2 linked regions of the Anolis sagrei genome follow. The protein of the gene in region 1 interacts with the protein of each later gene in a biochemical or structural test. Links are inferred from orthologs where the notes say so. Each region holds a gene or a part of one and is shown on either strand. Other genes may lie near its edges. The genes, in order: CFLAR and DNA-binding death effector domain-containing protein 2.

Evidence for each region.
Region 2: the proteins of CFLAR (region 1) and DNA-binding death effector domain-containing protein 2 form a complex in vitro, tested with the Homo sapiens proteins (2 studies listed by BioGRID). The link is inferred for Anolis sagrei from reciprocal best matches to the Homo sapiens genes CFLAR and DEDD2.

The regions. Positions count from the first base shown.
Region 1 is NC_090021.1:164,405,459-164,421,212, forward strand, and holds the start of CFLAR (CASP8 and FADD-like apoptosis regulator), read left to right. Parts: upstream 1-8,264; 5' UTR 8,265-8,385; intron 8,386-15,754. UniProt on the Homo sapiens protein: Apoptosis regulator protein which may function as a crucial link between cell survival and cell death pathways in mammalian cells. Acts as an inhibitor of TNFRSF6 mediated apoptosis.
Region 2 is NC_090034.1:109,159,257-109,174,606, forward strand, and holds the start of DNA-binding death effector domain-containing protein 2, read left to right. Parts: upstream 1-9,044; 5' UTR 9,045-9,160; coding exon 9,161-9,632; intron 9,633-9,894; coding exon 9,895-10,005; intron 10,006-10,270; coding exon 10,271-10,402; intron 10,403-15,350. Other genes in the region: zinc finger protein 574-like, read right to left, coding at 1-1,216. UniProt on the Homo sapiens protein: May play a critical role in death receptor-induced apoptosis and may target CASP8 and CASP10 to the nucleus. May regulate degradation of intermediate filaments during apoptosis.

The sequences.
Region 1 (15,754 bases):
ATTTCATAAAATAATAATATTTTAACAGGATTATTTTGTCTCTTTCTACAAGCAAGAAGTGTTCCCAGAGAGAGAGGGAAAAGGCAGGATTGGAAGCCTAAGGAGCCCTTTCCAACTAGACTTTTTATCCTCCTGTTCTGTAGGGTTGCCTACTACCTTTTGCCCAAGGTGTTGGCTCCTGATGATAGTGTGAATATTGCTTATTATTCTTTCAATATATTTTATACTATTTATTGGCACCTTGAAAAGACTGGTATCTTAAAGAGCATCTGTTTCATTCAAAGGAAGGAAGGAAGGAAGGAAGGTAGAATTGAGGCTTCTTTGCTCCATTATGATCTTGAGAATACAATCCTGAGATAATACAGGAATATTTAGGTACAATTAATGGTAGTTGAGAGAGCCCCCTGTGGTGCAGCAGGTTAAACTATTGAGATGTTGAACTTGCTGACCAAAACATCAGCGGTTTGAATCTGGGAAGTGGTGTGATCTCCCGCTGTTAGTCCCAGCCATATGACCTAGGAGGCATCTATGGACAATGCCGGCTCTTCGGCTTAGAAATAGAGATGAGCACCACACCCTGGAGTCGGACACATCTAGACTTAATGTCAAGGGGAAACCTTTACCTTTACTTAACAGTAGTTGCTCTATTTTTACCTATCAAACCTATTTCAGTATATCTTCAGACAATATATATTTTGTCTGTAGTTATAACACATTGCAATTACTATAATAATATATAAATAACCCTTCCAAAAATATTTAGCAGATATCCTGTAGGGATTGACTTTTCATAGCAACTTTGTTTTCCAGCTCCATTAATGTTTTGCATTATTAGATAATATCCATGGACCTACATACTAATTTATTTACAATAAATATAATGGACTACACATATAGCTTTGGGATAGAGCTGTTTTCTGCCAGACAGCTGTGGCATGGTTTTGAATTTTGCAGAAAAACATGGGGGTTTGCCAGCATTGTCATTATTTGTTAGGAAGCTTTTATGATAATCGCTTTCCCAGGAGGAAGACTTTAAAGCACAATTCAGTACACCATGACCGCAGTTATGCCTGCTTTTAGGCCACTGTGGGACAACTTATGTAACTGTCATGCTGTATAGGAAACTGAAGTTCTTATTGTGTGAAATACAGTACATGCAAACTGAACAACAAGGGGATCAATATATGCAAAGCCTACATTATTTCTATGATCAGGTTTTATTTCTTTTCAATAATAAATCCTTATTACAAAAAGTAGAGAAATGTGATCACAAGATGGTCTGTTGTACAAACACGAGAACACAATTGCAGAAGAGAAATTACATAACAGATGTTTATAAAACAATGGCAAGAGAACAAATGTTCTTTTCTCACAGTTATCTAACTTGACGTTACCTAATGAAGGACCCATGCAGAGCGTCAAAATTGCTGTGTGTGTTTATCCCAGAGACAAACAGATTATAGGGAGAGATGACAGCAGTCTTCAAATATCTGAAGTGTTATGATGCAGAAGAATCAAAAGCTGGATTGTTATCCATTAGGGATTCTATAGTTGCATTCATGACTATGAATCATGAGCCATGGCTCTACTGGAACATACAGCGTGCCTATATTGCCTTTTCATTTTACCCTGTAATAACATCTTATGAATTTTCTTGGAATGATGCCCCACCACACTTTGGATTTCAGGAAATGATTCCCAAAATTATCATAATCCTTTCACAATGAACCAGGAGACTCGAGGGGAATACACAATGGACTTGCATAAGAACCCCTGGGTCCTTTTCCTGTTTCACCTGATATGATCTAAGTTATCTCTGGGAATGCTTCCTCTTCCAGACCCACCCTAGCAACACCCATTGAGACGGCCATCACTTTATGCACCCTTTATTTATCTGAACTAACTCCATTATATTAGCTGGAGCTAGAATATTAAACCCATAACTGATTTCCCCATCACATTCATTTCTGATCGCGCCCATCTCATGGGTGGATTGATAAACCAACACACTTTTCAAAATAATTAAATGAATATGCAAAACTACAGAAACAACAAAACATACCAACTTCGGAAGATTGGATGATAAAAGTTTTTTAAATGGCTAAATTAGCTTTAGTTCTACAATAAATAAATACACAGAAACTTCAGGAAAAATTGAAACCCTTTATTTAATTTATAAAGAACCAAAGGAAGGTGACCACAGCAGGATTTGTTGACTAAAAATAGTATTAAGAGTATATAGATACATTTTGCACTATTTATATACTTCACGTTCAAGAGATTTTAGAGACTTCAGATAATCAGCTTGTTTACTTACTTACATCCTCGTTGTCCAAGTATGATGGCCTTCAAAGTTCTTGGAAGACACCTGTGCACTCACCACAACAAGTTTTAATGTGTGGAGGTCGGTTATTTGGAACACGCAAGCCTACTCACCACAACAAGGTGGCAATCCATAGAGATTTGTTAGTACTCTTTAACTAGAATACTTTATTTACAAACTTTGTTATTTAAATATTTCAAAACACACATACACAGACACACCCAAATACATAAAGTTTGTGTAGTGTTTAAAAAAGAAGAAAATATGACAATGTAACTTAGTGAATTCTCACCCACACAATATTAATTTACTAACAGATGGAATTTAATTTTTAGATTTCTATGGCAATAATTAAAATTAGATAAAAGACATGTAAAGAACTAGAAGAGAAGATAGGAAGAACATCGGGCAGAATGGGAAGACATGATTACCAGTCTTGATGTTGGATGACAAGAGTGTGTTCTTTTCTGTTATAGAGGATATATTGAATTTTCAAAACTGTAGACAATGTGTATAATAGTACTTGAGATGAAGATATAGATGGAATAATTATAACAAATCTAAGACTTCTCTTCCCCGTCAATTCCTTTCCTCTTCCTCGGTGACATAGAAAAATCTTGATATAGTCCTAATTTACTACCCAGAGCTCTACTACCCTTCTTTTCTCTTGGTGTGATTTTTTTTTTTTAAAAAAAAAAAAGAACACTTGGGGGGAATCAATCACAGTTTATTAAAGTTTGTGGAAAGCAAGCAGTGATGACATCGGACGGAGTCCTGGATCACTCAGGAACAGATCTTAGCCAGACATTTTCTGAGCCTATCAGGGGCCAGTGCAGTAGACTTAAATAGCTGTCAACGATAATAAATATTGTATGTTTATTTATTATTTTATTTACTATATTTATATCCCGCCTTTCTCTACCCTGGGGGATTCAAGGCGGCTTACAGATAGACAATCATTCAATGCCTTAACAAAAATATACAATTAAACATTAAGATCAAGATTAAAATACATTAAAACATTTTAAAAACTTTACAATCACTATAAAACCACGCTATTCACAATCATAATCCAGATCGTTCCGTTACTTATTGCACATAATTCCTGTCCATCTATTACACAATAGTTCTTCCCCGAAGGCTTGATCCCATAGCCACATTTTCACACTCTTTCTGAAGGTCAGGAGGGAGGGGGCTGATCTAACATAGCTGGGGAGAGAGTTCCACAGCTGAGGGGCCACCACTGAGAAGGCCTTGTCTCTCATCCCCACCAGTACCTGCGAAGGGGGCGAGAGCAAGAGCAGGGCCTCCCTGGATGATCTTAATCTCCAAGATGGTTCATAGGGGGAGATCCATTTGGACAGGTAAGCTGGGCCAGAACCATTTAGGACTTTATAGGCTAAAGCCAGTACTTTGAATTGGCAGCCAGTGGAGCTGATGTAACAGGGGAGGGGGGTGCACTCCCTATACATTGCTTCAGTGAGCAATCTGGCTGCTGCCTGCTGGACCATTTGGAGCTTCTGAACAGTCTTCAAAGGCAACCCCATATAGAGCACGTTGCAGTAATCTATTCAAGATGTAACCAGAGCATGAACCACTGTGACCAAGTCTGACTTCCCAAGGTATGGGCACACCTGGCGCACAAGTTTTAATTGTGTGAATGCTCCGTTGGCCATCACCAAAACCTGGGGTTCCAGGCTCAGCAATGAATCCAGGAGAATTCCTAAGCTATGAACCCATGTCTTAATTGGGGAGATGGTGGTGGGATATTAAATAAAGTTGTTTATTATTATTATTATTATTCAGAGAGACTGTAACCCCATCCAATACAGGCTGTAACCCTATAACCTGTTCGGCTTTCCAACTGACCAGGAGTACCTCTGTCTTGTCTGGATTCAATTTCAATTTGTTTGTCCTCATCCAGACTGTCACAGGATCGGGACCTGAACAGCCTCCTTCACAGCAGGTGGAAAGGAGTTACAGAATTGAACGTCATCTGTGTACATATGACGTCCAACTCCAAAACTCCGGATGTTTGTATTGAGATATGTCAGTTCTTTGCAGTGCTGTCTTTGCTGACATCTTCTCTGGCCACTGAGAATAAAGCTTTTGACTTTGCCTTCAGCCCATCTGTGTCTTATCTGATTCTTTGGAAGCTTGGCACTCCGGGCCCCAAACCTGTGGTTTTAGTGGAGCTGAAATCACATAACACAGTTAAGTTAAAACAAATAATATGAAGTAAAAGTGACATGAGTTTAGCTGGAGACAGCTGCTTTATGTCTCAGAGCTTACCATTTCAATTTGTTAAGTGATCATCTGGACTTCGGACTAGGGAAATGGTTAATTATTTCTTATGTGTGTAAATATTTGCAATTAAGGTTGGAATGTTTGAGCAAGCAACATGGAGGAACCAAATTGCAATTAGCAGTTAAAGACTGTGTATGTGTGTGTGTGTGTGTATGTGTGTGTGTATGTATATGTGTGTTTGTGTGTGTGTGTTGATATTATTACAGTTTGAATCTTATTAAATGATTAGCAGTCCCCTGCCACGTGTTGCTGTGGCCTAGTCTGGTGATCTGGAAAATAAAGTAATGAGAAAGTGTTGGTTTCTAATATATGTAATTTCTTTATGCTTGTCGGTAAACAGTATTTGATTACGTTTTCTTGCCCTGGTGAAGGGACTTGGACTGGATGGCCTTAAGTATTTTCTATTGGTCATAGGGGTTGTGTTTGGGAAGTTTGCCCCAATTCTATCATTCAACAGGTTCAGAATGCTCTTTGATTGTAGGTGAATTATAAATCCTAGTAACTACAACTCCCAAATGTCAAGGTCTATTTCCCCCAAGCTCCATCTGTGTTCCTAGTTGGGCATATGGAATATCTGTGCCAAGTTTGGTCCAGATCCATCATTGTTTGGGTCCACGGTGCTTTCTGGATGTAGGTGTACTACAACTCCCAAACTCAAGGTCAATGCCCACCAAACCCTTCAAGTATTTTCTGTTGGTCATGGGAGTCCTGTGTGCCACATTTTGTTCAACTCCAAAATTGGTGGAGTTCAGAGTGCTCTTTGATTGTAGGTTAACTATAAATCCCAGCAACTATAACTCCCAAATTACAAACTCAATTTTTTGAATGATGATCACTCCTTGGGTTAGTAGGTGTTTTGTGGCCAAATTTGGTGGCAATTTGTCCAGTGATTTTTGAGTTATGTTAATCTCACAAACGAACATTACATTTTTATTTATATAGATGACTTATATTACAATATACATATGCCTTATATTACATAAATGGAATATATGTTTAGAAAGCAAAAGGTTTGTCTCATGTCTTTAAACACAAACAAAAATAGAATATAACTTTCAAACCACATACATGGCTATTTTATTACTACCCCCAATTATTTTTTCCATCCTTTCCTGTCTTTTCGCTACCCTCACTTTTTTAATATGCATTTTATGTTTACTTTATTTGGAAATGTTAAATCAAAAAAATATTTGGAAACATGTATCAATTATTTTGGATGCAGCAAAGCAAAGACATGAAAACTACTTGCTTGGAATTTGTACTGGAAGACGAAGAGATTCCCAGAAAGGCCATCCTGCTTAATTCTGACCAGACAGTTTGAAACCACTTTGGACTGCCATGACTAAGTTGATTTTTTTCTCTAGTGTGATGAAGATTGCTGTTGTTGTTCATTCGTTCAGTTGTTTCCAACTCTTCGTGACCTCATGGACCAGCCTGCGCGATAGTTCCCTGTCGGCTGTCACCACCCCCAGCTCACTTCAAGTGATGCCATCCGCAGGGATACCAAGGTGCTTGTTTATAAAGCTATTGTCCTCCCAACCCTGCTATACGCTTGCGAGACGTGGACAGTCTACAGATGTCACATGCAACTCCTGGAATGATTCCATCAGCGTTGCCTCTGGAAAATCCTGCAAATCTCTTGGGAAGACAAGCATACAAATGTCAGCGTGCTGGAAGATGCAAAGACCACTAGCATTGAAGCGATGGTCCTCCGCCATCAGCTCCGCTGGACCGGCCACGTTGTCCAGATGCCCGACCACCGTCTCCCAAAGCAGTTGCTCTTCTCTGAACTCAAGAATGGAAAAGGGAAAGTTGGTGGGCAGGAAAAGAGATTGAAAGATGGGCTCAAAGCCAACCTTAAATCCTCTGGCATAGACACTGAGAACTGAAGCTCTGGCCCTTGAGCGCTCCAGCTGGAGGTCAGCTGTGACCAGCAGTGCTGTAGAATTTGAAGAGGCATGAATGAAGGGCGAAAGAGAGAAACGTGCCAGGAGGAAGACGCGTGAAGCCAACCCTGACCGGGACCGCCTTCCACCTGGAAACCAATGCCCTCACTGTGGGAGAAGATGCAGATCAAGAATAGGGCTCCACAATCACCTACGAACCCACTGCCAGGACACTGACCTTGGAGGACCATCATCCTCGGACTATGAGGGATTGCCTAAGTAAGTAAAGCCATCCATCCATCTTGCCCTTGGTTGGCCCCTCCTCCTTTTTCCTTCCATTTTCCCCAGCATCATTGTCTTCTCCAAGCTTTCCTGTCTTCTCATTATGTGGCCAAGTACTTCATCTTTGTCTCTAGTATCCTTCCCTCCAATGAGCACTCGGGCTGTATTTCCTGAAGACTGGTTGGATCTTCTCGCTGTCCAAGGCACTCTTAGGATTTTCCTCCAAAACCACAGTTCAAAAGCATCTATCTTCCTTCGCTCAGCCTTCCCTAAGGTCCAGCTCTCACATCTGTAGGTGACTATGTGGAATATCATTGCTTTAACAATGCGGATCTTGGTTGCCATTGGTTAACAATGCGGATCTTGGTGATGTCTCTAATCTTTACTATTTTATCGAGATTGGTCATTGCTCTCCTCCCAAGATTTCCTGGCTGCAGTCTGCGTCTGCAGTAATCTCTGCACCTAGAAATACAAAGTCTGTCATGGCCTCCACGTTTGTGATGAAGATCCTGCCTGGAAAACTCACAGCAACCCAGTGCATCTTCTATTCACACTGTAGAGCAGCGTTTCTCAACCTGGGGGCCGGGACCCCCATGGGGGTCACGAGGGGGTGTCAGAGGGGTTGCCAAAGACTATCAGAAAACATAATATTTTCTGTTGGTCATGCGGGTTCTGTGTGGAAAATTTGGTCTAATTCTATTGTTGGTGGGGTTCAGAATGCTATTTTGTTGTGGGTAAACTATAAATCCCAACCACTACAACTCCCAAATGGCAAGGTCTATTTTCTCCAAACTTTACCAGTGTTCACATTTGGGCATATTGAGTATTTGTACCAAGTTTGATCCAGATCCATCATTGTTTGAGTCCACAATGTTCTCTGGATGTAGATGAACAATAAATCCAAAACTCAAGGTCACTGCCCACTAAACCCTTCCAGTATTTTCTGTTGGTCATGGGAGTTCTTTGTGTCAAGTTTGACTCAATTCCATTGCTGGTAGAATTCAAAATGCTCTTTGATTGTAGGTGGACTATAAATCCCAGCAACTACAACTCCCAAATGACAAAATCAGTCCCTCCTCAACCCCACCAGTATTAAAATTTGGGTATATTGGATATTTGTGCCAAATTTGGTCCAGTGAATGAAAATACATCCTGCATACCAGATATTTACATTATGATTCATAACAGCAGCGAAATGATAGTTATGAATTAGCAACAAAAATAATTTTATGGTTGGGGGTCACCATAACATGAGGAAGTGTATTAAGGGGTCGTGGCATTAGGAAGGTTGAGAACCACTGACCTAGAGCTTCTATTCAACCATCTCAAAGCTCCCTGCTTGAGCAGTAATGGCACGATCATCAGTACTGAAGAGTGTAGAAGGCGGGCGCCCCTTGTGGCTAGTGGCGGAATTGCATCCCCTCTTTGCAGCTCTCTCCTCCTCCTCCTCCTCCTCCTCCTCCTCCTCCTCCTCCTCCCCTTCTTCCTCGTCCAGGCCTCTTTCTCGGAAAGCGAAAGCCTCCCTCCCGCGTCACTGGCCAAACTGCGAGGGGTGCTGCCATCTTGAGAGGGACGATCGGGTTGCCTGTGAGTAGCAGCTGATTCTCTAGAAGGAGAGAGAGAGGGAGAGAGAGGGAGAGAAAGAAGGAACGAGGGGAAGGAGGAGAGGATCAAGCGGATGTGTGTGTGTGTGTGTGTCCTTCCTTCCTCCTTCATGGGAAGAGAGCGGGGCGAAAGAACAGATCGAGCCCCTCCTTTTTGATCCTTCGAAGAAAGGCACTTTATTTTCAAACTGGAGTGACTCAACATTGTTGCACTTTGACCCCAGTTCGAACTGCCAGGCGATCGCCTTGGCGAGGCACAGGCGATCTTTGGCAGAGAAGGCTCCAGGCTTTGTCAAACTACAGTTCCCAGCATTGACTTCCGGGGAGAGCGGCCTCCACATTGTTTTGCGGAACAACACCACGGATCCTGGGAGATGTAGTTTTTCCAAATTCAGTGCCTTTTCTCTTTACTCCCAGGAATTCACAGCAGTGAGCCCTGGCAATTCAAGTGTGGCCAAACTGTGTCAAGACTATTGATTGACATTATTAAATACATTAATAATTACAATTATTAATAATCTATTAATGCCACATTAATGAACATTATTAGTTATTGATACATTAGAATCATAGAGTTGGAAGAGGCCTCATGGAAGAGGCATCCAGTCCAACCCCCTGCCAAAAAGCAGGAATATTGCATTAAAAGCACCCCCGACAGATGGCCATCCAGCCATCCAAAGAAGGAGCCTCCACTGCATTCCGGGGCAGAGAGTTCCACAGCTGAATGGCTCTCACAGTAGAATCATAGAGTTGGATGAACCCTCATGGGCCATCCAGTCCAACCCCCTGCCCTTAAAAGACTCCAAAGAAGGAGCCTCCACCACACTCAGGGGCAGAGAGTTCCACTGCTGAACGGCTCTCACAGTAGAATCATAGAGTTGGATGAGCCCTCATGGGCCATCCAGTCTAACCCCCTGCCAAAAAGCAGGAATATGGCATTCAAAGCACCCCTGACAGATGGCCATCCAGCCTCCCCTTAAAAGACTCCAAAGAAGGAGCCTCCACCACCCTCCAGGGCAGAGAGTTCCACTGCTGAACGGCTCTCACAGTAGAATCATAGAGTTGGAAGAGACTTCATGGGCCATCCAGTCTAACCCCCTGCCAAAAAGCAGGAATATGGCATTCAAAGCACCCCTGACAGATGGCCATCCAGCCTCCCCTTAAAAGACTCCAAAGAAGGAGCCTCCACCACCCTCCAGGGCAGAGAGTTCCACTGCTGAACGGCTCTCACAGTAGAATCATAGAGTTGGAAGAGACCTCATGGGCCATCCAGTCTAACCCCCTGCCAAAAAGCAGGAATATGGCATTCAAAGCACCCCTGACAGATGGCCATCCAGCCTCCCCTTAAAAGACTCCAAAGAAGGAGCCTCCACCACCCTCCAGGGCAGAGAGTTCCACTGCTGAAGGGCTCTCACAGTAGAATCATAGAGTTGGAAGAGACCTCATGGGCCATCCAGTCTAACCCCCTGCCAAAAAGCAGGAATATGGCATTCAAAGCACCCCTGACAGATGGCCATCCAGCCTCCCCTTAAAACACTCCAAAGAAGGAGCCTCCACCACCCTCCAGGGCAGAGAGTTCCACTGCTGAACGGCTCTCACAGTAGAATCATAGAGTTGGAAGAGACCTCATGGGCCATCCAGTCCAACCCCTTTCTGCCAGAAAGCAGGAATATTGCATTCAAAGTACCCCTGACAGATGGCCATCCAGCCCCTGTTTAAAAGCTTCCAAAGAAGGAGCCTCCAACACTCTCCGGGGCAGAGAGTTCCACTGCTGAACGGCTCTCACAGTCAGGAAGTTCTTCCTCATGTTCAGATGGAATCTCTTTTAATATTAATAATTACAAGTAATAATCTATTAATTCTTCGTTATTAGTTTATTAGTTATTAATACATTATTAATCTTTAATCTTATATAAATAAAAATATAATGTTCATTTGTGGGATTAACATAACTCAAAAACCACTGGACGAATTGACACCAAATGCGGACAGAAGACACCTATCAGGCCAATGAGTGACCATCACTCATAAAAACACTGCAAAACACAGCAGAAGAGATTTAAAAAGCCAAAAAAAGAAAAAAATACATTACAACGCATGCGCAAAACCACACACACATATATACACAAAAATATGCACAAACAAAACACATATACACAGACTAGGCCACAGCAACACGTGGCAGGGGACGGCTAGTTATTAATACTACAACAATGCTTGTCTTGCTTCAGTGCAAAAAGGGCTCAGCTCAGCGGCCCCTTTAAGGCGCAACTTATTTTGGAAAGACTTTTCCGGCACGCGGAAGTGGCTTCCCGAGGAGGGCAAGAAGCTGCGCGCGCATCCAAGCACGCGCGGGCGGGGCTTTTGTTGTGGTTTCCCTCGCGCCGTGTTGTTTCCTCATTGTGGAGTTCTTAGTCAAAGGCGTTTTGTGGTCGCTGAGATCACGAGGGAAACTGAGTTGTTTTCCGTCTCTCTCTGAGGGAAAAAAACAGCCCTAAAGGACAAAAAGGGAGGCTTTTAAGGCGTGGGAGGTGAGACTAGGCCTGGTCACGCAGTTTCCCAGTCACAGCTGTGAATTCAAAGACAGCCATCTTATTTTTAGCACTTTGGCCCTATCTCCACTGCTATATACAATCCAGATTATCTGCTTAGAACAGGATTCTACTGCAGTGTAAACTCATAATCCAGTTCAGTGGTTCTCAGCTTGTGGGTCCCCAGATGTTTTAGCCTTCAACTCCCAGAAATCCTAACAGCTGGTAAACTGGCTAGGATTTCTGAGAGTTGTAGGCCAAAAACATCTGGGGACCCCAGGTTGAGAACCACTGGATTATCTGATTTTATTTATTTATTTACATCACTTATATCCCGCCCATATCAGCCCGCAGGCGACAATACAAAAGCAAAAACAATTAAGTGCATTTAGACAAAAAAGAGTGCAATAACAATTTAAAAAGAGCTATATCTTCTCATTCCAATCCTCGTCCATTTCATCGTCTTGGCCGTTCCTGGGTCATTCTCCATCTCAAGCTTGACTTATCTATTCCGGGGTTCCGAATGCCTGCTCAAAGAGACAGCTTTTCACTCTCTTACAAAAGGTCAGGAGGGAGGGGGCTGATCTAATATCCCTAGGCAGGGAGTTCCACAGCCGAGGGGCCACCACAGAGAAGGCCCTGTCTCTCGTCCCCGCCAAGCGTGCTTGCGAAGCAGACGGGATCGAGAGCAGGGCCTCCTCAGATGATCTTAACTTCCTGGAGGGTTCGTAGGAAGAGATGCGTTCGGATAGGTAGGCTGGGCCAGAACCGTTTAGGGCTTTATAGGCTAAAGCCAGCAAACTGGCAGCCAGTGGAGCTGGCGCAGCAGAGGAGTTGTGTGCTCCCTGAGCGCCGCTCCTGTTAGCAACCTGGCTGCTGCACGCTGGATTATATAGCAGGTTAGTTAGAAAGGGCCTGAGACATGTTGGGAAACACTGCATTTAATGCAGTTTGACCCCCTCTTGAACTGCCAGGGTTCAGTGCTATGGAATCCTGGGAGCTGTCGTTTTACAAGGTCTTTTTGCCTTCTCTGTCAAAGAGTGCTGTTTGTGTGTGTCAGATGTGGATTGAGAATATACTACAAGTCAGAATTTGCTGTCCGCAAGGATGTTGCCCAAGGGACTCCTGGATGTGTTACCATTCTGAAGGAGGCAACCATTTTGGAGGAGGCTTCTCTCATGTCCCCGGATGAGAAGATGGAGCTGACAGACAGGAAATCACCCTTTCGACAGATCTGAACCGTCAACCTTCAGATCAGCAGTTCAGCTGGCACAAGCGTTTAACCCAGTGGTTCTCAACCTGTGGGTCCCCAGATGTTTTGGTCTTCAACTCCCAGAAATCCTAACATCTAGTAAACTGGCTGGGATTTCTGGGAGTTGTAGGCCAAAACACCTGGGGACCCACAGGTTGAGAACCACTGGTTTAACCTATTGCGCCATCACGGCTCCTCACTCCCATGATTCCATACCATTGAGTCATGGCAGTTAGTGGGGTCAGATTGCATTCATTCTACAGCAGGCATGGACGAATTTTGGCCCTTCAGGTGTTTTCGACTTCAACTCACACAATTCCTAACAGCTAGTAGGGAAAAGAATAATTCAGGCAGAAGATTAAACATCTGGAAAGCTGCGAGAATTCTTGAAAAATGGGAGAAAAATATAATATTTAATTTAAAAAACTCCCTGTGGAATGGACTGGGAGCCAAACCTTTCCCCCTTTTTCCCATCTTTATCAACCCACCCTATCCCCCAACCCACCCACCCCCCCAGTTCCCAGCAATCCCCCATCCCCTCTTTTACGTATAACTGTAAAATTCTTGAAATAAAGATAATTAATTAAAAAAAGGAATTGTGGAATTGAAGTCCAAAACACCCAGAGGGGTTTGCCCATGCCTGTTCTACAGTGTAGGGCCGTGCTAGACAGGCCCTATATCCCAGGATCTGATCCCAGGTTTTCTGCTTTAAATTGGATTATATGAGTCCACACCGCCAGATAATCTGGGATAAACAGAAAACCTGGGATCAAATCCTGGTGTATAAGGCCTGTCTGGAAGCGCCTGTAGATGCACTCTGTCTCATTGTGAGTCACAATGAGTTACTTCCCATTAAGGTTTTTCTTGAGAGTTTCCCTGACGGGGATAATGATAAATCCCAGCCATGGCCTCATCACTATGTAACCATATTTGAATTTTTTTTCTGTTCCTGGTTTGAAAGTGTTATTTCCTGTTTAATTGTTCCATACTTATTTTGAAAGTAGTTGTTCTACTCCAGAAACTTCGTTTTGTGTCTGCCACAAAGTAGATTGGATTGGTTGAGATTCAGTGAGATATTCATTGAAAAACTAAAGGAAAAACTATAACAGGATCTGGGTTGTTGTAGGTTTTCCGGGCTATATGGCCATGTTCTAGAGGCATTTTCTCCTGACATTTCGCCTGCATCTATGGCAGGCATCCTCAGAGGTAGTGAGGTAGTGAAAGCCTTCAACTATACATATAACAGGATCTCGCAAAAAACATTTTTTTTGCAGTGTAATAAACTTTTGCCATGTTTTTAAATGATTGAACCAATTAGAAAATGACCTTTATAACACAGGAACAAAAATCATGTTACGTAGTACTATCAGCAGAAGGGAGGAAATAAGTGGAAAACCCCAGCAAGGATCTTTTCTTTTGTTCCCTTTTTCTTGTGGGTGCCACTTGAAAGAAAGAGGAGGAGGAGGAGGAACAGCAGTTTCAGGAAATTAAAAACAAACAAACAGATTCTTGTTTACACATGGAAACCAGGAAACTGAGCAGCTCCTTCCTCTTTGAAAATGAAGGCTTGCTGCTTTAACATAAAAGGGGGTCCTAACGCATCTAGGCTTCAAGGGAGCCATTTAGGGTTTTTAAAAAGATTATATTATTTACCAATCTGTCTTGAAAGCAAATTACTTGGCAAGTCAGAGATTGCTGGCTCTACACTGTAGAATGGATGTGGTTTGACCCCACTTTTAAGTGCCATGACCCAGTGCTATGGTCTCCTAGGAGTTGTTAGTTTGGTGAGGCAACAGCACTCTTTGGGAAAACTACTAGGGCTGGGCAACCACGGAAAAATTTGTTTCTAAAACCGATTCGTTTTTTGGGGGGGTTTGCGTTTCGATTTTTAAAAGAATTCCGAAATTTTTCTTTTAAAAAGTTCGATATTTACGAAATTTCGTAAAATTGCAAAACAATACGAAACAATTACAAAACAATTACGAATCGATTCGTTAATGGCGGATGCGACCGCGCAATACGCTAAAAAACCTCCAAATGGGACAGGGGGAACTTCTGAAGCTTCCCTCTCCCTCTGTTGTTGACTGTTGGTGTGATATTTATAATTTTTTTTTCACTGATTAAACAAACAACAACTATAAAACTTGCCCCAGACATGCGGAAATAATAACGAAACAATTTCAAAACGATAACGAAACGAATACAAAACGAATTCGAAACAATTACGAAACGAATTTAAAAATTCGTTTCGTTTTTTAGTTGCTCCTGAATGGTTCGTTATCGCTTCGTTATAAAAAAAATAACGAATTTTTAACGAATTACGAAATTACGAAATGAAACCGCCCAGCCCTAAAAACTACAACTCTCATGATTTCATAGCATTGAGTGGTTGCAAACTGCACTCCAGGATTGTTGTGTGTTTCCCATTTATGTCAAGAGGTTGTTTTCTTTTCACAACTTGTTTAGCGTGAGTATCTTTTTGCAGAGAGAGTGACTTGACCAAAGGCACCCAGAGTATTTCCATGACTGAGCAGAAATTTGAACCCTGGTCTACACAGTGGTAGAACACATCTACACCAGGCATGGACAAACTTTGGCCCTCTAGGTGTTTTGAACATCTACATTATAGAATTAATGCAGCTTGAACCCACTTTAACTGCCATGGCTCAGTTCAATGGGATTCTAAGAGTTGTATTTTTCCAAAGTCTTTAGCCTTCTCTGCCAAAGTGTGCTGGAGCCTCACCAAACTACAACTCTTGTGATTCCATCGCATTGAGCCATGGCAGCTCAAGTGGTGCTAAACTGAACTGATTCTACAGTGTAGATGTTCCCATAGTCTAATGCTCGAACTACTACACCGCACTCCCTTGGTATTTTAAGAACGGATGAGAAATGTTTCAGATTGCTTGATAAACTAATTTTGCAAGTTACCTATAAAGGACACATTTTGAGGCATGAGAAAGATGACAGCTGTTTTTGTGTTTCCATATTTGTTTGTTTGTTTGTTTGTTTACTGTACTTATACCCTGCTCTTCTCACCCCCGAAGGGGACCCAGGGCGACTTATAAACTATGACAATATTTCAATACCATATTCAGACAATAACGATATCAGTAAAACGCAATATTATAAAACTAAAAACATACATATTAAAATAGTCATTCAAATTATTAAAACATATCAAGCATATCAAAAGCCTAGTGCCAAATGAGCTTTGTAAACATTGAGGCGTTCTTCTATCATACTTACGGGCCATATTAATCCCCAAAGGCTTGCTTAAATAGCCAGGTCTTAAGATACTTCCTGATACTTAAGAGTGAGGGGGCTGTTCTGATGTCACCGGGGAGGGAGTTCCACAGCCGTGGGGCCACCACTGAGAAGATCCCCAGTGTGGCCTTTCCTGCTTCCCTCAGCAGCGGCCTCCCCGCGCCATACTGCCTGCACCGCCATTGTAGCCGCCCCGGAGGACTAGCTCCTCTCCCTGCTTTTTCTTCCTGTTTTTTTAATTTCCCTGGCAGCATCTATTCAAGAAGAAATCTGAGGCTATACAGTTCCTCTAGAAAGCCTTG
Region 2 (15,350 bases), on another chromosome or scaffold:
GGGAGGAAGAGGACCCTCCACCACTGTTGCTGCCACCGTTGACCACCGTCTCCCCATCGCTCGGGACTGGCTCCAGGGTCTGCCTGCCGAGCCCCGGCTTCACGTTCCCTCGGGCGGGGGGCACCCCGCTCTTGCCCGCGTGTGTGCGCCGGTGGTACAGGAACTTGGTCATGTTGCTGAAGGCCTTGCCACAGTGGCAGCGGTGCAGGGGGTTGGCGGTGTGGTTCTTGCGGTGCGTGACGAGCGTCATCTCGGTGGAGAAGCCCAGGCCGCAGTCCACGCAGAGGTAGAGCGCCTCCCCCTTGTGCACCCGCATGTGCTGCTCCAGGGAGGCCGCCTTCTTGAAGATCTTGTTGCAGTTGGGGCACTCGTAGGTGCCGTCCATGTGCGCCCGCTGGTGCGCCAGCAGCCGCTTGGCCGTGGTGAAGCCGCGCTGGCACTCCCCACAGAGGAACTCCTCCGGCTGGCTCCGCGCATGATGCTCCAGCCGGTGCTGCTCCAGGGCTTCCGCTGAGGCAAAGGCCTGCTTGCATTCACCACAGCTGAGCGCCTTCGTGGAGGGCGATGCGGGCAGGGGGGCGTCTTCTTCAGGACCCCGCAATGGAGATGTCCGGGGGCTGGCCGCTTCTTGAACCGCCGCTGCCGCCACCGTGCCTTCAGGGGGCTCTGCGCTCTCCTTCTCGATCTCCGTGAAATGCTCTCCCTGATGCTCAAGCAGCTCCTCGGGAGTCAGGAAGAGGCCGGCGCACTCGGAGCATTCATAGGGGTGCACCGGCGGGGCAGGCGGAAGGGAGGGCGGGCGGGGAAGGGGAGGCGAGGGGCAGGCCGTTGCGGCCGGCTCTTTCTGGCGGTGCGCCCGGCGGTGGGCCAGCCAGAGTGCGGTGGAGGGGAAGAGCTCCTGGCACTCGTTGCACTGGTAGCGGATCTGCCCCGGGGTGGGCGGGGGCCGGGAGGGGACCTCCCTGGGGTGCACTTCCTGGTGGGCCAGGAGCTCGTCCGGGGAGCCCAGGGCGCAGCCGCACTCCAGGCACTGGAAGCCGCTGCTCTCCTGGGTCGGGGCCACGGCTCCTTCTTCCGCAGGAGGAGGAGTAGGGGTCTCCGGGAGGTGGCTCTGGTGGTGGATCAGCACTGCTTCCAGCGTGTCGTAGAGCAGCCCGCACTCGGAGCACATGTACTGGTGCTGCAGGAAGAGCGACTGGGACAGGTCCTCCGCCATGGCGCCTGGGGAGGGAGGGGGAAGAGCGGGTGAAGAAAGGCTGCCTGCCCCCACCCCAGGCCACCCTTGGTTCACCACTGACTTATTACTCCCCATCATGCTCTCAATATGCCCCCAACACCCACCCACCCACACAGAGGTGGCCCTAGGTAATTTTCAACGGTAAGCAAACAGTATTCAGTGTTGTTGTCTGGAACACCCTCCCCAAAGATCTTAGACAGGCCCCTACACTGGCAGTCTTCAGAAAGAACTTGAAGACCTGGCTGTTCCAATGTGCCTTTCCCGATTAGGAAATCTCCAATACCAAGTCCCAGAAGCACTTTAGTAGAACTATGATTGCGGCACACTGCACTTACCCTAGAATCCTTATATACCACCTGTCACATCAGCACTTTTAATCCTGTGCCCATAACTCTGGCCTGGCCCAGTTTTATAGTGTTTTGATGTATTGTTTATTGCTTGTTGTTTAATATTGCTTTAACTGTTTTTAATTTGCTTTAGGTTTTGTATTGTTATGTTGTGTTTTGAGGCCTTGGCCTTTGTAAGCCGCATCGAGTCCTTCGGGAGATGCTCGCGGGGTACAAATAAAGATAATAATAATAATAATAATAATAATAATAATAATATCCCCCCCCCCCCAACCAATTAGGAGTATAGTGTCTAGGTCCAGGGAAGTCCTGCTCCCCATGCTCTATTCCGCTTTGGTTAGACCACACCTGGAATATTGTGTCCAATTCTGGGCCCCACAATTCAAGAGAGATATTGACTCTAAGCTGGAATGTGTCCAGAGGAGGGCGACTAAAATGATCAAGAGTCTGGAGAACAAGCCCTATGAGGAGTGGCTTAAGGAGCTGGGCATGTTTAGCCTGAAGAAGAGAAGGCTGAGAGGAGATATGATAGCCATGTATAAATATGTGAGAGGAAGCCACAGGGAGGAGGAGGGAGCAAGCTTGTTTTCTGCTTCCCTGGAGACTAGGACGCGGAGCAATGGCTTCAAACAACAAGAGAGAAGATTCCATCTGAACATGAGGAAGGACTTCCTGACTGTGAGAGCCGTTCAGCAGTGGAACTCTCTGCCCTGGAGTGTGGTGGAGGCTCCTTCTTTGGAAGCTTTTAAGCAGAGGCTGGATGGCCATCTGTCAGGGGTGCTTTGAATGCAATATTCCTGCTTCTTGGCAGAATGGGGTTGGACTGGATGATAGCCCAGGAGGTCTCTTTCAACTCTAGGATTCTAGGATTCTATGAATTACTGATATATATTTTCTGTTCGTCATGGGAGTTCTGTGTGCCATATTTGGTTCAGTTCCATCATTGGTGGAGTTCAGAATGCTCTTTGATTGTAGGTGAACTAGACATCCCAGTGACTACCACTCGCATATGTCAAGGTCTATTTTCCCCCAGGAACGCCCCTGGGTTTGACCTTGAGTTTGGAGTTGTAGTTCACCTACACCCAGAGAGCACTGTGGACTCAAACAATGGTGGATATGGACCAAACTTTACATGAACACTCAGTATGCCCAAATGTGAACACTGTGCCCTATTTAGTTCAATTCCATCCTTGGTGGAGTTCAGAATGCTCTTTGGTTGTAGGTGAACTATACATCCCAGTAAGTACAACTCCCAAATATCAAGGTCTGTTTTCCCCCAAGAGCACTTCAAGAGCACCCCTGGGCAAAATCAACTCTACTGTGAGTGCTTACTTTGTATAATGGGTTGAGCCGCCCCTGAATATGCCCCCAACACGCACCCACTCAGAGGCCGGCCTGGCCTCCAGGTTACAGGCCCACTCGCAGGTAGCTGAGTCTCCTGCCCGGGATGCCCAGGGAAGAGGGCCTCTGGGCCTGCTCCCCACCTGCCTGGGACTCTCCTAGAATCCTAGAGTTGGAAGAGACCTCCTGGGCCATCCTCCAGTCCAACCCCATTCTGCCAAGAAGCAGGAATATTGCATTCAAAGCACCCCTGACAGATGGCCATCCAGCCTCTGTTTCAAAGCCTCCAAAGAAGGAGCCTCCACCACACTCCGGGGCAGAGAGTTCCACTGCTGAACGGCTCTCACAGTCAGGAAGTTCTTTCTCATGTTCAGATGGAATCTCGTTTCTTGGCTCTCATGTCTCCTCTCAGCCTTCTCTTCTTCAGGCTAAACATGCCCAGTTCCCTAAGCCGCTCCTCATAGGGCTTGTTCTCCAGACCCTTGATTCTTTGAGTCGCCCTCCTCTGGACACATTCCAACTTGTCAATATCTCTCTTGAATTGTGGTGCCCAGAATTGGTGGAGTTCAGATTGTAGGTGAACTATACATCCCAGTAACTACCACTCGCATATGTCAAGGTCTATTTTCCCCCCAAGAGTGCCTCAAGAGCCCCACTGGGCAAAATCAACTCTACTGCGAATGCTTACTTTGTGTAATGGGTTGAGCCGCCCCTGCGTCCACAGGCCAGCCTGGCCTCCAGGTCCACAGGCCCACTTGCAGGCAGCTGAGTCTCCTGCCTGGGATGCCCAGGGAAGAGGGGCTTTGGGCCTGCTCCCCATCTGCCTGGGACTCTCCTAGAATCCTAGAGTTGGAAGAGACCTCCTGGGCCATCCTCCAGCCCAACCCCATTCTGCCAAGAAGCAGGAATATTGCATTCAAAGCACCCCTGGCAGATGGCCATCCAGCCTCTGCTTCAAAGCTTCCAAAGAAGCCATTGTTCCCTTGCGTCCTAGTCTCCAGGGAAGCCGAAAGGAAGCTTGCTCCCTCCTCCTCCTCTCTGTGGCTTCCTCTCACATATTTACACATGGCTCTCGTCATATCTCCTCTCAGCCTTTTCTTCTTCAGGCTAAACATGCCCAGCTCCTTAAGCCTCTCTTCATAGGGCTTGTTCTCCAGACCCTAGTCTCCAGGGAAGCAGAAAACAAGCTTGCTCCCTCCTCCTCCCTGTGGCTTCCTCTCACATATTTACACATGGCTCTCATCATATCTCCTCTCATCCTTTTCTTCTTCAGGCTAAACATGCCCAGCTCCTTAAGCCGCTCCTCATAGGGCTTGTTCTCCAGACCCTTGATCATTTTAGTCGCCCTCCTCTGGGCAAATTCTCCCAGCTTGTCAATATCTCTCTTGAATTGTGGTGCCCAGAATTGGTGGAGTTCAGAATGCTCTTTGATTGTGGGTGAACTATACATCCCAGTGACTACAACTCGCATATGTCAAGGTCTATTTTCCCCCCAAGAGTGCCTTAAGTGCCCCACTGGGCAAAATCAACTCTACTGCGAATGCTCACTTTGCGTAAGGGCTTGAGCCACCCCTGCATGGGACAGAATGGCAGCAGAAGGCCCACAGGCCCATTTGGAGGCAGCTGAGTTTCCTGCCCGGGATGCCCAGGGAAGAGAGGCTTTGGGCCTGCTCCCCGCCTGCCTGGGACTCTCCTGCGGGGCTCCGGCCCTCCTCCTTGCCTCCCTCGGCCACTCACCTGGGACTCTGGGTCTCCCTGGCAGGCGCAGGCCCTCTCCCACCGCCTGCTTTCCTTCCCTCACGGCCTGGCCAATCAGCGCCCTCGATACTCAAGAGGTGCTTCCGCTCGCCGCAGGCTTGAGACGTCACGGCGGCGCCTTCCTGGGCGGAGCCACCAAGCGGACGGAGGGCGGCACTTCACCCTTGCTCCTTCCCCGCCCCTGGTTACCTAACCCCCGCCGTCTCCTTGACGACGCCCCAGGCGAGGGGAGGGAGGGGCGGAGCTTGTGACGTCTCTTGTTGTTGTCTTCCTCGTCGTCGAGGCCGCGCTGGGGAGGCCCCGCCCCCTCACGTGGGCCGTCCGCGTGAGCGAGCCGAAAGGGAGGGAGGCCGTGGGGCGCATGCGCGGGCTGGACACCTGCGAGACACAAACAGAGGCGCTGCGCATGCGCTAAGGAGGGGCCCTCAGCTGAGGAGAGGCTGGCGCATGCGCAGAAGCGATCCAGGGACCAGAAAGACCAGAAGGACGGCGCAGGGAGGAAGAGGAGGAGGACGCTCATCGTCGAAGGCTCGGTGAGAACGGGGGAGGGGGGCAGAGGGGGGGCAGAGGGAGGGAGGGGGCTCTCTCTTTTCTCCCTCCCTCGAAGGGACGAGGCAGGGGGGCGCCTGGCTTTGAAGGCTTCTCGCCATGGCTGCCCCCCCCCCGCACAAAGAGAGGGAGAAGCGGGCAGGCCGGAGGGGGGGGAGGGGGAGTGAAGGAGGGGCTGAAGTGCCCCCTCTCTATCCCCCTCCCTCGGCTCCGAGGCTCCTTGGTGTGCTGCCCCCTGGCGGCCGGTGCGCGCTTGGCCTCCCGCAAAAGAGGAACTGGGAGGGAGGGAAGGAAGGAAGGAGGGAGGGAGCCTCCTCTTCCGGTTGGGAAGGCCTGGCCGGGAGGAACCTTCCTTCCAAGCCAGAAACACTTGGACTTCAACTCCCAGCATTCCTCACCGCCTCTGGCCCTTCCTTTTCCGCTTAAGCGGAAGGGTCCCGAGGCGGTGAGGAATGCTGGGAGTTGAAGTCCAAAACACAGGGAGGGAGGGAGGGAGGAAGGCCCAAGCTTGCTAGAACGGACGTGGCCCCAACACTCAGCTTCGTGTCACCTCCTCTATTTATTTATTTATTTATTTATTATGTATTTCGTCTACTTCTACCCCGCCCTTCTCGTCTGGAGGGGCCTTGCTCTCGGTCCCACCGCCTGCACAATCACGGCTTGACCGTATCCACCCATTCCGGCACCTTCAGTTTGCCTGATCTGCAACAAGAAGCAAGCAGAAGGGAAGCCCTGGCACTTGGCTCCTGCTTCACAGAATCATTGGGTCATCCAGTCCAACTCCCTTCTGCCCTGCAGGAAAAGCACCATCAACATCCCGACCCGACAGATGGCCTTCCAGCCTCTTTTAGAAAGCCTCCATGGAAGGAGCTTCCACCAGCCTCTGGGGCAGAGAGTTCCGCAGTTGAACCATCAAGACCACTAAGATCGTCTGGAGGGGCCCTGCTCTCAGTCCCACCGCTTGCACAAGCACGGCTGGTGGGGGCGAGGGACAGGGCCTTCTCGATGGTGGCCCCTCGACTTTGGAACTCCCTGCCATTAGAGATCAGAACTGCCCCCTCCCTCATGACGTTCAGGAAACTAACAAAGACCTGGTTGTGGAACGCGGCATTTGACAACTGATTTAATTCTTTGCCCACATGAAAGGAGGATGATGAATGGGATTGTGATGGTGTCGGACGATTTGGCTCTTTTAACTGGGATGATAATGTTTTAATGTGTATGGTGCTGATATTTTAATCGTGTAATGAAGTGACATTGTGTTGTTATTGTATATTCTTTGTATGTTAACACATGTTGTGAGCCGGTCCGGATCCCTCTTTGAAGGTGAGAGGGTCGGTATATAAAACCTCGAAATAAATAATAATAAATAATTCTCAACCCCCGAGGGGGGACTCAGGGCGGCTTACAAAATGGCACAATTTGGTGCCTGCACAAATACAATAACATATAAAAACAGCAATTAAATGGTTAACAATTAAAACAACAATATATCTCACAATCGATAGCCAATCTCAGACACAGCATTCACCAACTCAGAGTCCATACTTCATTCCACATTGTCTATTCCTATCCGTCGTCACAGTCCTTTATTTATCTGCCAGATTGCCTAAACGCCTGGTCCCACGTCCATGTTTTTAATTTCTTTCTGAAGGAAAGGAGGGATGTTGCTGATCTAATGTCCCCGGGGAGTGAATTCCATAGGTGAGGAGCCACCACTGAGAAGGCCCTGCTCCTCGTCCCTGCCAATCTCACTTGTGACAGAGGTGGGGTCGAGAACAGGGCCTCCCCAGAGGATCTCAGACTCCGAGGTGGGACATAGAGGGAGATGCGTTCGGACAGATATGCATCTCTGTCTTGTTCATGCCCAGCATTATTTTTTAACTTAACTACATTTGGCCCAGCCATAGTTCTTAAATGTGTCTTGTGCTACCATTCAATGTTTATGCTAATTGTGTATGAGATTTATTTTAATTGCTTTGTATTAGTAGTTGTATTTTGCTTCGTATTGTGGTTGTATTGCTTGTATTGATGTAAGCCGAGCCCACAATACATGACCTACATGACCACATTTCAGTGTACGAACCCACCCGATCTCTTCATTCATCTAGAGAGGCCCTGCTTACGATCCCACCAGCATCGCAAGTGCTATTGGTGGGGACGAGGGAGAGGGCCTTCTTGGTGGTGGCCCCTCGACTTTGGAACTCTCTCCCTAAGGACATCAGGCAGGCGCCGTCGCTAGCAATCTTTAGGAGGAGCTTGAAAACATGGATGTTCCAGTGTGCCTTTCCAGAATAAAGAAACTCCTAGCATTATGTCCCAACGCACTTTATTCAGAGATCTAAGATATCTGCATGCCCACCCCCCTCCAAACACCCCACCTGTCATGCCCAGCACTTTTAATTTTAATTATTACATTTGGCCCGGCCATTGTTTTTAACTGTGTCACTGCTTGTTGTTAATGTTATTGCTTGTTTTTGTTTTATTTTGCTGTATTATTGTTGTTATTGTTTATTGTTGTATTTTGGGCTCGGCCTTGTGTAAGCCGCATTGAGTCCTTCGGGAGATGGTAGCGGGGTACAAATAAAGGATGATTATTCTTCTTCTTATTATTATTATAAGCCGCACCAAGTCCCTTGGGAGATGGTAGTGGGGTATAAATAAAGTTTTATTATTGTTATTATTATCATTATTATTTATTTTACAGTTATAATAATAATAACAACGACAACAAACAACTTTAATTCTACCTCGCCACTATCTCTCCGAAGGGGACTCAGTGCGGCTTACATGATACAATACAACAGAATAAAATGCAAAAAACAGGCAACAAAAATTATATAAAAATAAAATACATACAGTAGCAAAAGTAAAATAGATAAAGCATATTGACATAGCATTGGACAATGGGCAGGCCAAATGGACGAAGTAAAATGATAAAACCCTGGATGAGGAAGGAATAGAAAATAAAGTGTAATTGAGAGGAGTCCAAAAAGGACGGACACACACATCCCAACGTATTTCTTACATGCCCAAACAGAACTTCCTAACTGTAAGAAAAGCTGTTCAGCAGTGGAACTCTCTGCCTCAGAGTCTGGAGGAAGTTCATCCCTTGGAAGCCTTTAAACATCCGTCAGGGGAGATGGTAGCGGAATATAAATAAAGGTTATTATAATAAATAATAATAAAACTTTATTTATACCCTGCTACCATCTCCCCAACGGCTTACATGAGGCCGAGCCCACAATACATCAATAGAAGCAATAACAATCACAATACAAAACAAAACAATTAAAATAAATCTCATACACAAATAGCATAAACATAAACAAAAACACAATGCACATTTAAAAGACTGGCTGGGCCAAATGTAATTGAAGTTTAAAAAATAATGCTGGGCATAAACAATATAGAGGAGACTACTATTATTATTAGTATTGTGCTTTTCCTGCATGGAAGGGGGTTGGATGATTTGGCCCATGTGGTCTCTTCCAACTGTATGATGCTCTGAAGAGAATTGTCCTCTGGGCGCACGGCCAATGCTTCTAGCCAAAGGGGAGCCCCATTCCAGGCCACGCAGGAGAGGGGGAGGGCACCATGACTTCCCTCCGCTTGCATGCGTGCTTCTTGACACAACCCAGAGCCACACTTCATGATCACGCTGTGGACTAGCGCTCAGCTTGTGGCCTCCTGAGAAGACTCCTTGCTCCCTTTCCAAACACTGACGATCTCCAAGCCCACCTTGTCTCTGTGTTTCATGTCTGTTGCCCAAGTGTCGCACTGCCAGTGGTTTGGAGATCCCTGAGCAGTGCTGTTTCTTCCATTGCAGGCTCTTGTCTGTCTCACCCACTCGAAGCTCCTCCTTCTGCGCAGCGCTTCTGCTCCTTGCCGCGCTTCTCCCCTCCTCCTGCTTGCGCCACCCGCCCCAATGATGTCTGACTTCCGGCGGCCCCTGTTTGCGCACGCCTGGGAGGAGGAGGAGTGCCTGGAGTACTACGGGATGATCCCCCTGCACCGCATGTTCGAAGTGGTGGGGGCCCAGCTGACCCAGAACGACGTGGAGGTGCTCTCCTTCCTGCTGGAGGAGACGCAGCCCTTGCACCACCCCCTGGACCCGGAGCTCTGGGCGGTGGCGGCCTCAGAAGAGGGGGCCGCAGAGACGGCCTCACCCGCCCTGCAGGGCTGGAGGAAGAAGCAGCAGCAGGAGGGGGGCTCAGCCTGGGCGGAAGGCAGCCTCGAGGGGGCCAGGGGGCTGCCCAAAGACGGTGTCCGGCTTCTCCTGGAGCTCGAGCGGAGGGGCAAGTGCGACGAGACCAACTTTGTGCAGCTGCTGCAGCTCCTGCGAGTGCTCACCAGGCACGACCTCCTGCCCTACGTCACTCTGAAAAGGCAGCGGACAGGTATGCAGCCGCGCAGGCAGGAAGGAAATGACTCAACCTTTGACTCGCTTATGACAGTGCTGTCGCTCTTCCTTTAGTGGGTACTTAATTCTAGCTTGCAGGCCAACTTTATCCAAACAGGATGGAGGAATTCCATGACGGGGCTGGCTCCTTTCACAGTTCTGGGTGGGGGTGACACTTACCTCTCCTGCACTTGCTACCTGGGCTTGCTTGCCAGAAAGGTGCTTCTCCCTTTGTTTGACTTGTGTCACTCTTTCCCTAGTTTCTCCTGAGAGATACACTTACGGGCCGTCTGTCCTGTCATCCGACCAGCAGGTGGACAACTGTCTCAATTCAGCCTCTGCAGAGCCTCAGAGTGATCAGTGGGAGGCAGGTGCGTGTTGGACCACCCAGGGAAGGAGCGGCATGCGTTTCTCCCTTTTCCGTCTGCCTTTTCCCCTTCTCTACCCAGTAGTCCCTTTCTGTGAAGCCCCACAAGCAGCCTGTTTGGGTTCTTGTGTCTGTTTGTGGGGGGGACGGCTTCTGCGTTGAGCGCCATGGGGCCAGCCAGGGACCACAGCTCAAGGGAACGTGAGCTGCCATCCCTGGGTCCTGATGCCCCAAGAAACTCCCAGCCTCCCTTCTTCTGTTTCCTCTAGGCTCCAGTTCCAGCAAAAGGAAACGAGTCAGCAGAGGCCGAGCAAAATCTGCTGCTCCCCGCAGGCGTCGGGGAGCCAAAGGGCCTTCTGCTCCCAAGCAGGAGGTCCAAACTCCAACCAAAGTGACTTGTGGTAAGTGTCTGCCTGGCCCGTGCTGTGCTCTTAGGGCTCCCTCGAGTCCTTCCAAATAATACGCCATGAGCATCTTGGTCTCTGTTAAGGGAATGGAGCCCTAAGGGTGACTGGAGCCAAAGTGGGAGGTGGGTGGGGCGGGGGGAGGAGGCGGCCCGGTGCACATCGCTGCCAGGAAAGGCTCCAGTGGCAGGCCAGGGAACGTGGTGGTGGGCTTGCATTGTTAGGTGCAGCTGGACACCACGGGGCTCCAGTCCACTGGGAGCATGGAGATTTTAGTCCCACTCTTTGGGACTAAGTTATCTTCCATTCCTAGTTGAGTTTTACTGGTTTCTATTCCTAGTTGAGTTTACTGGTTTCCTATTTTCAAATGACCACAGTCTATTTATTCCTAAATGGTGAATTTTCTAACTCGCCCATGATGATAGATAACTAAATCAGAAAAAAAATTGTCCCGGGTGTATTGCATGAAACCAGCAGCTTTATGAACATGGGAAAGGGTGCCTTCAGGTTGCTAAACCCTTAGCATCAGTTGCTGGGGAAACTGGGAGCTTTTAATTCAGTGCCCTAAGGTGCTTAAAGAACTGGTCTTGGAGAGAGACGGCCTTCGCTGCTTTGAGGTCCTTTTCTGTGTAAATTGGAGGCGGCTCAAGGCGGTGGGTCTGATCTGGTTCTCTTCTCGCCATCTCCCATTTTTCTGGTTTGGTAATTTCAGATTAAAAATTATTCCCACAATTGAATGGAAGAGAATCCCAATTAAATCAAGAATTCTAAAGAAACGGGTCCTGGGTAGGGAGCATGACAAGGTGTGAAGATGCTCCCTCTGCTTCAGATAAAGATACTTAACTAGAAAAAGACTCAAGTACAAATTGAGCTGCTTTTGAAAAGAGTGATTTGGAGTCATTGTGCCAGGAGCACCATGTGCCACAGCCTTTTCGTGGGTGTTATGCAAGTGGCAATGAAACGTACATATAGATAAGCTGTGGCCATGTGGCTGCAGTATCCCGCCATGTTGCTACTGCACGGTTTTATCACTGGCCCTCTTAAAGAGGATTTTTCTCGCAATTTGGTTCATCATACCAACTTCTGGAACTGGACTTTGTTTAAAGGTCCAAGTCTTTGAAGGATTTTGGTCTGCCTAGTTAAATTATATTCAGATTTCTGCCTCATGTCTGTCTCAAAGACCAGCATCTGTCATTTATTCCTGCATTGCTAGGCCTTTTCAGCCATGTATTTCCTGAACATAGAGAAACTGTGAAATCTGCTTGCAGACTGTCGTGTGGGACGGTCCACACGTGGTTTTTACAGTTTCTTCAACTTGGGGGTGCTTTTTGTTTGCCATGGACTGTATTGGAAGTGGTCCGTGGCGAGGAGGTGGGTGCCCAGGGCCAGCCAATGTGCTGCTTTCTTTGTCTCAGTGCAATGCAAATGAAACCAAAGCGAATACACAAAAACGCTTGTCTTACCGTCTGACCAATTTACAGGCAAAGGGGTTCTAACGAAGAAGGTTCAAAAATAATACAATGAGTGTCAAAACTGCAACTTCAAGGTGCAGCTAAGGCTTCTGCCGGGTAGGTGCAAGGATCAAACTGTAAGCTCCATTCCACACTAGATTGTTGCCTGTATTCCTTGTCCTGTTCCCTTGCTTCCCTGGGGCAGAACCGGAGGCTCGTGGGGCGTAGGCAGCTGCTTTCCCGTCATGGGCTCCACGTCCAGCCACGGCCTTGAGCGGCGGCGGGGAGGGGGCCGGCTCCCATCTGCCTCCCAGAGCGCAATCTCACCCTTCATAAAAGCTAGGCCTTGGCTACTAAGGGGGAAAACGTCCACGTCCACAAATGGTTTTTTGTTGCTGCTTGCTTTCTGCCAATTCTTTCTCAATCCACCATTTAAATTCCAGGTTGCTAAGCAAAAGTTGATGATAAAGAGACTCTGTCTCTCTTGTGCACTCTTCTCACAGAATGGTCTCGCAAAGGTAAATGAATCCACGCACCCAGATTTCCACCACTTCTTTGTGAAGCAAACTGTTTTAACTCTGTGCTGCGTTGCCTCATTCCGGAGCAGGCCCAGGCGCCTTCCTTCCTTCCCCTTCTCTCTCCTGCATGCCGGCCAAGTCCCAAAGGCACGATGGCGCTCCAGAGGTTCCTGGGGGCAGGGGGGCCGCTCCAGACCGGCACGGCGAGGGGCTTGTGCCGCAAACCTCCAGCAGGGCCCCATGGGAGCAGGTGGGGGCACACAGCTCCAAGGAAGGGCCACCAGCGCTGGCCGGGAGCCAGTTGCTCCCTTAGGAGGGCTCCCCTCGGCTGTGCAGGCGGAACTGCTACGACTGCTGCAGATATCAGGCCATGATATGTGTTGGGCTCTTTTCATAATAATCTATACAGCCAGGGGCGGCAGAACCAGGCACTTCAGATGCTGTTGTTCGTTTTCTGCTGGCCAGACAAAGCCTAACTGGCAGATGCCCATCTAAGCAGTTAATACGAGGGGTATTTTTTAAGTAAGGTCCGTTTGAACGAAAGTTTATTTCAAAAAAGTAAATTTATTTTCAGAAAGTACATACTTCACTCTATTTTTCGACATAGTTGCCAAGTTTGTTCAAACACTTATCATACCTCTGAACCAATTTTAAAATACCCTCTTCATAAAAACTTGCCGCCCGCTCCGATAACCAAGAGTTCACTGTAATCAAAGAAGGGCGACCGGAGCGGTCCTCATCATGGACGTTGTCACGGCCATCTTTGAATTGTTATACCCACTTACGCACTTGGCTTTCACTCATCACAGTATCACCGTACACTTCACAAATCTGTCGATGAATTTCTGCAGCAGGCAGGTTCCTTGCTGACAAAAACCGTATCCCTGAGCGAACCTCACATGCAGAGGGTGAGTTGATAGTCTTAAACATTTTAAAAGCACAGAACAGAACCGTACAGGTGGGCTACAGAGCGGAAACTGAGCACAGTTGTTCCCGAGGCATGCCGGTACACGACGCACACGCTCGTTGCGGTATGCACGCGAACTACTAGTGTCTACAACAAAACGGACCTTACTTAAAAAATACCCTTTGTAGTCCTGAGAAGGGCCACCTTTCTTGACCCTAAACACAATAGTCGTGCTGCAATTCCATGTCCAGTAAACCCATGGTGAGGTGGAATACAGCCCTGTGTTGGTCTTGGTGCCACTCCAGGGAGCAGTCTCTCTGCTGCCTCCTCACAGCCCGCCTTTCCATGCGCTCGGTCTGCTATCTGCAGCAGCCAAAACCCAGAAGGAAGACAGGGCAGGGCCTTTGCACCACTTTGTATCTTTCTGCCATATTGAAACGCAGAATGGTTTCTTGAGATGGCCATATGCTGAAAGTCTTGAAACACCTTCCTCTCAGTCTACAGTTGGCATCCATCCCTGGAAAAGCATAAGTATTGGCCCAGGCAAGTGGGCCAAGTACCAGACATGGCAAAAACACCCATACAAACTAAAAACAAAGCCTAAAAGTGCTCCTCATGATTATTGCTTCTGCCTCCTCTCTGCTTCTCTTATTATATTAGAAGAGGCCTTGGGCTCTGGGACTGCTTGCCTTCAGCACAGGGGGCGGGAGGTTATTCTGATGGGTTTTGCTGCTCGGTGAAAGTTAAATCTGTGTATCAAGTGAACGGGGTGGGGCAGAATTGTGCTCTAAAAACCAGAAATTGTGGGTCCCTTTTGTGGAAACTGCTGTTTTAATATCTCATTACTTTTTTGCCAAATCCTCTCATTTTGGTTTGTAAAAAATGCTCAGCCCATGTTACGGGGATTGCATGGATGATGAGGTGACAGGCCTCATTCTCTGGAAACATCCTACTTGTGTTGTAATGCAGTTGAGGTTTCTTTTTGGGGCTTGCTTCTGATTCCAAACTCATGGAAGACCCTCTCACGGGGGGCTTGCTGACCTGTTTTCAGGCTGCAAAGAGGGTGACCGCAGTAGGATTGTTTCACTGGAACTGAGGCCTGGATGTGCATTTGGAGGTGGGGGGTGGGGGGTCAGTGGTCTTTCTACTGCTGCTGTTCTTACCAATGTTGGCCCCATTTCTCATCTGATGTAGCTACTCAAGGCGGGCATGAGTGCTGCCTGGGGAAGGCCACAAAACTGCTTCCCATTTTGTACACAACAGTTGTGCAGAAACCGTTTCCTGACAACCTTCTGGTTGACGTGCTCCCAATGTGTTTTGACACAAACTCCTGCAGCCTTGCCCGATCTTGAGTGGGGAAATGTTTCCAGTTGCTTCAGAGCCACACTGGTGGATGGCACAAGGAGTGCCAGTGTGTTAATGCCAACTCTGGCAGCTGTGGTATCACCACACTGTTGATACAGGAAGGTGGATGAGCTCTTCTGTTCCCTCAAAGCTCATTAGTTAAACCATGGGGGTCAGCTGTCTGTACATGAATTGTATTCAGTGCTAATCAAAGAGGAAGCTCTCAACTGAGTGGCATGTAGCCAGGTGGTTGGGTGGGCCTGTGAGCACAGTCTCCAGTGGGGCCAGCAGCTGGACTCCTTGGCCGGTGGCCCCATGGGCGTCTCTGCCCTAAACAGGAGGCTCCCCACGTTTGGGCTTTTTCTCTCTTCTGTGGGTGGCAGTTCTCCCAAGAGAAGCTCCTCTTCCTTATTTGCCTGGACTGCATTGCTGTCCTTTCCTGGCCACTCTGCCATGGAATAGAAAACCCGAATGGCAGCCTTTCTGTTGCCTACCTGGAAAGGCCGTGTTTCCAGGGGTCTAGGCCCCTCACTTAGTGCCTGGGGTGTTGTCCCTTGGGCCAGCCGGGGAGGGGGACGGGCTCAGGACCCTTCAATGTTGCTGGTACAGGGCTGTGACTACTGCACTCTTGAGTTAATGCTTCTACAGGTGATGACCACAAGACACAGAGAAATTAAACCTGGCGGCCTTGTTGAGCGTATGTAACATCCCACCTGCCTCACTTT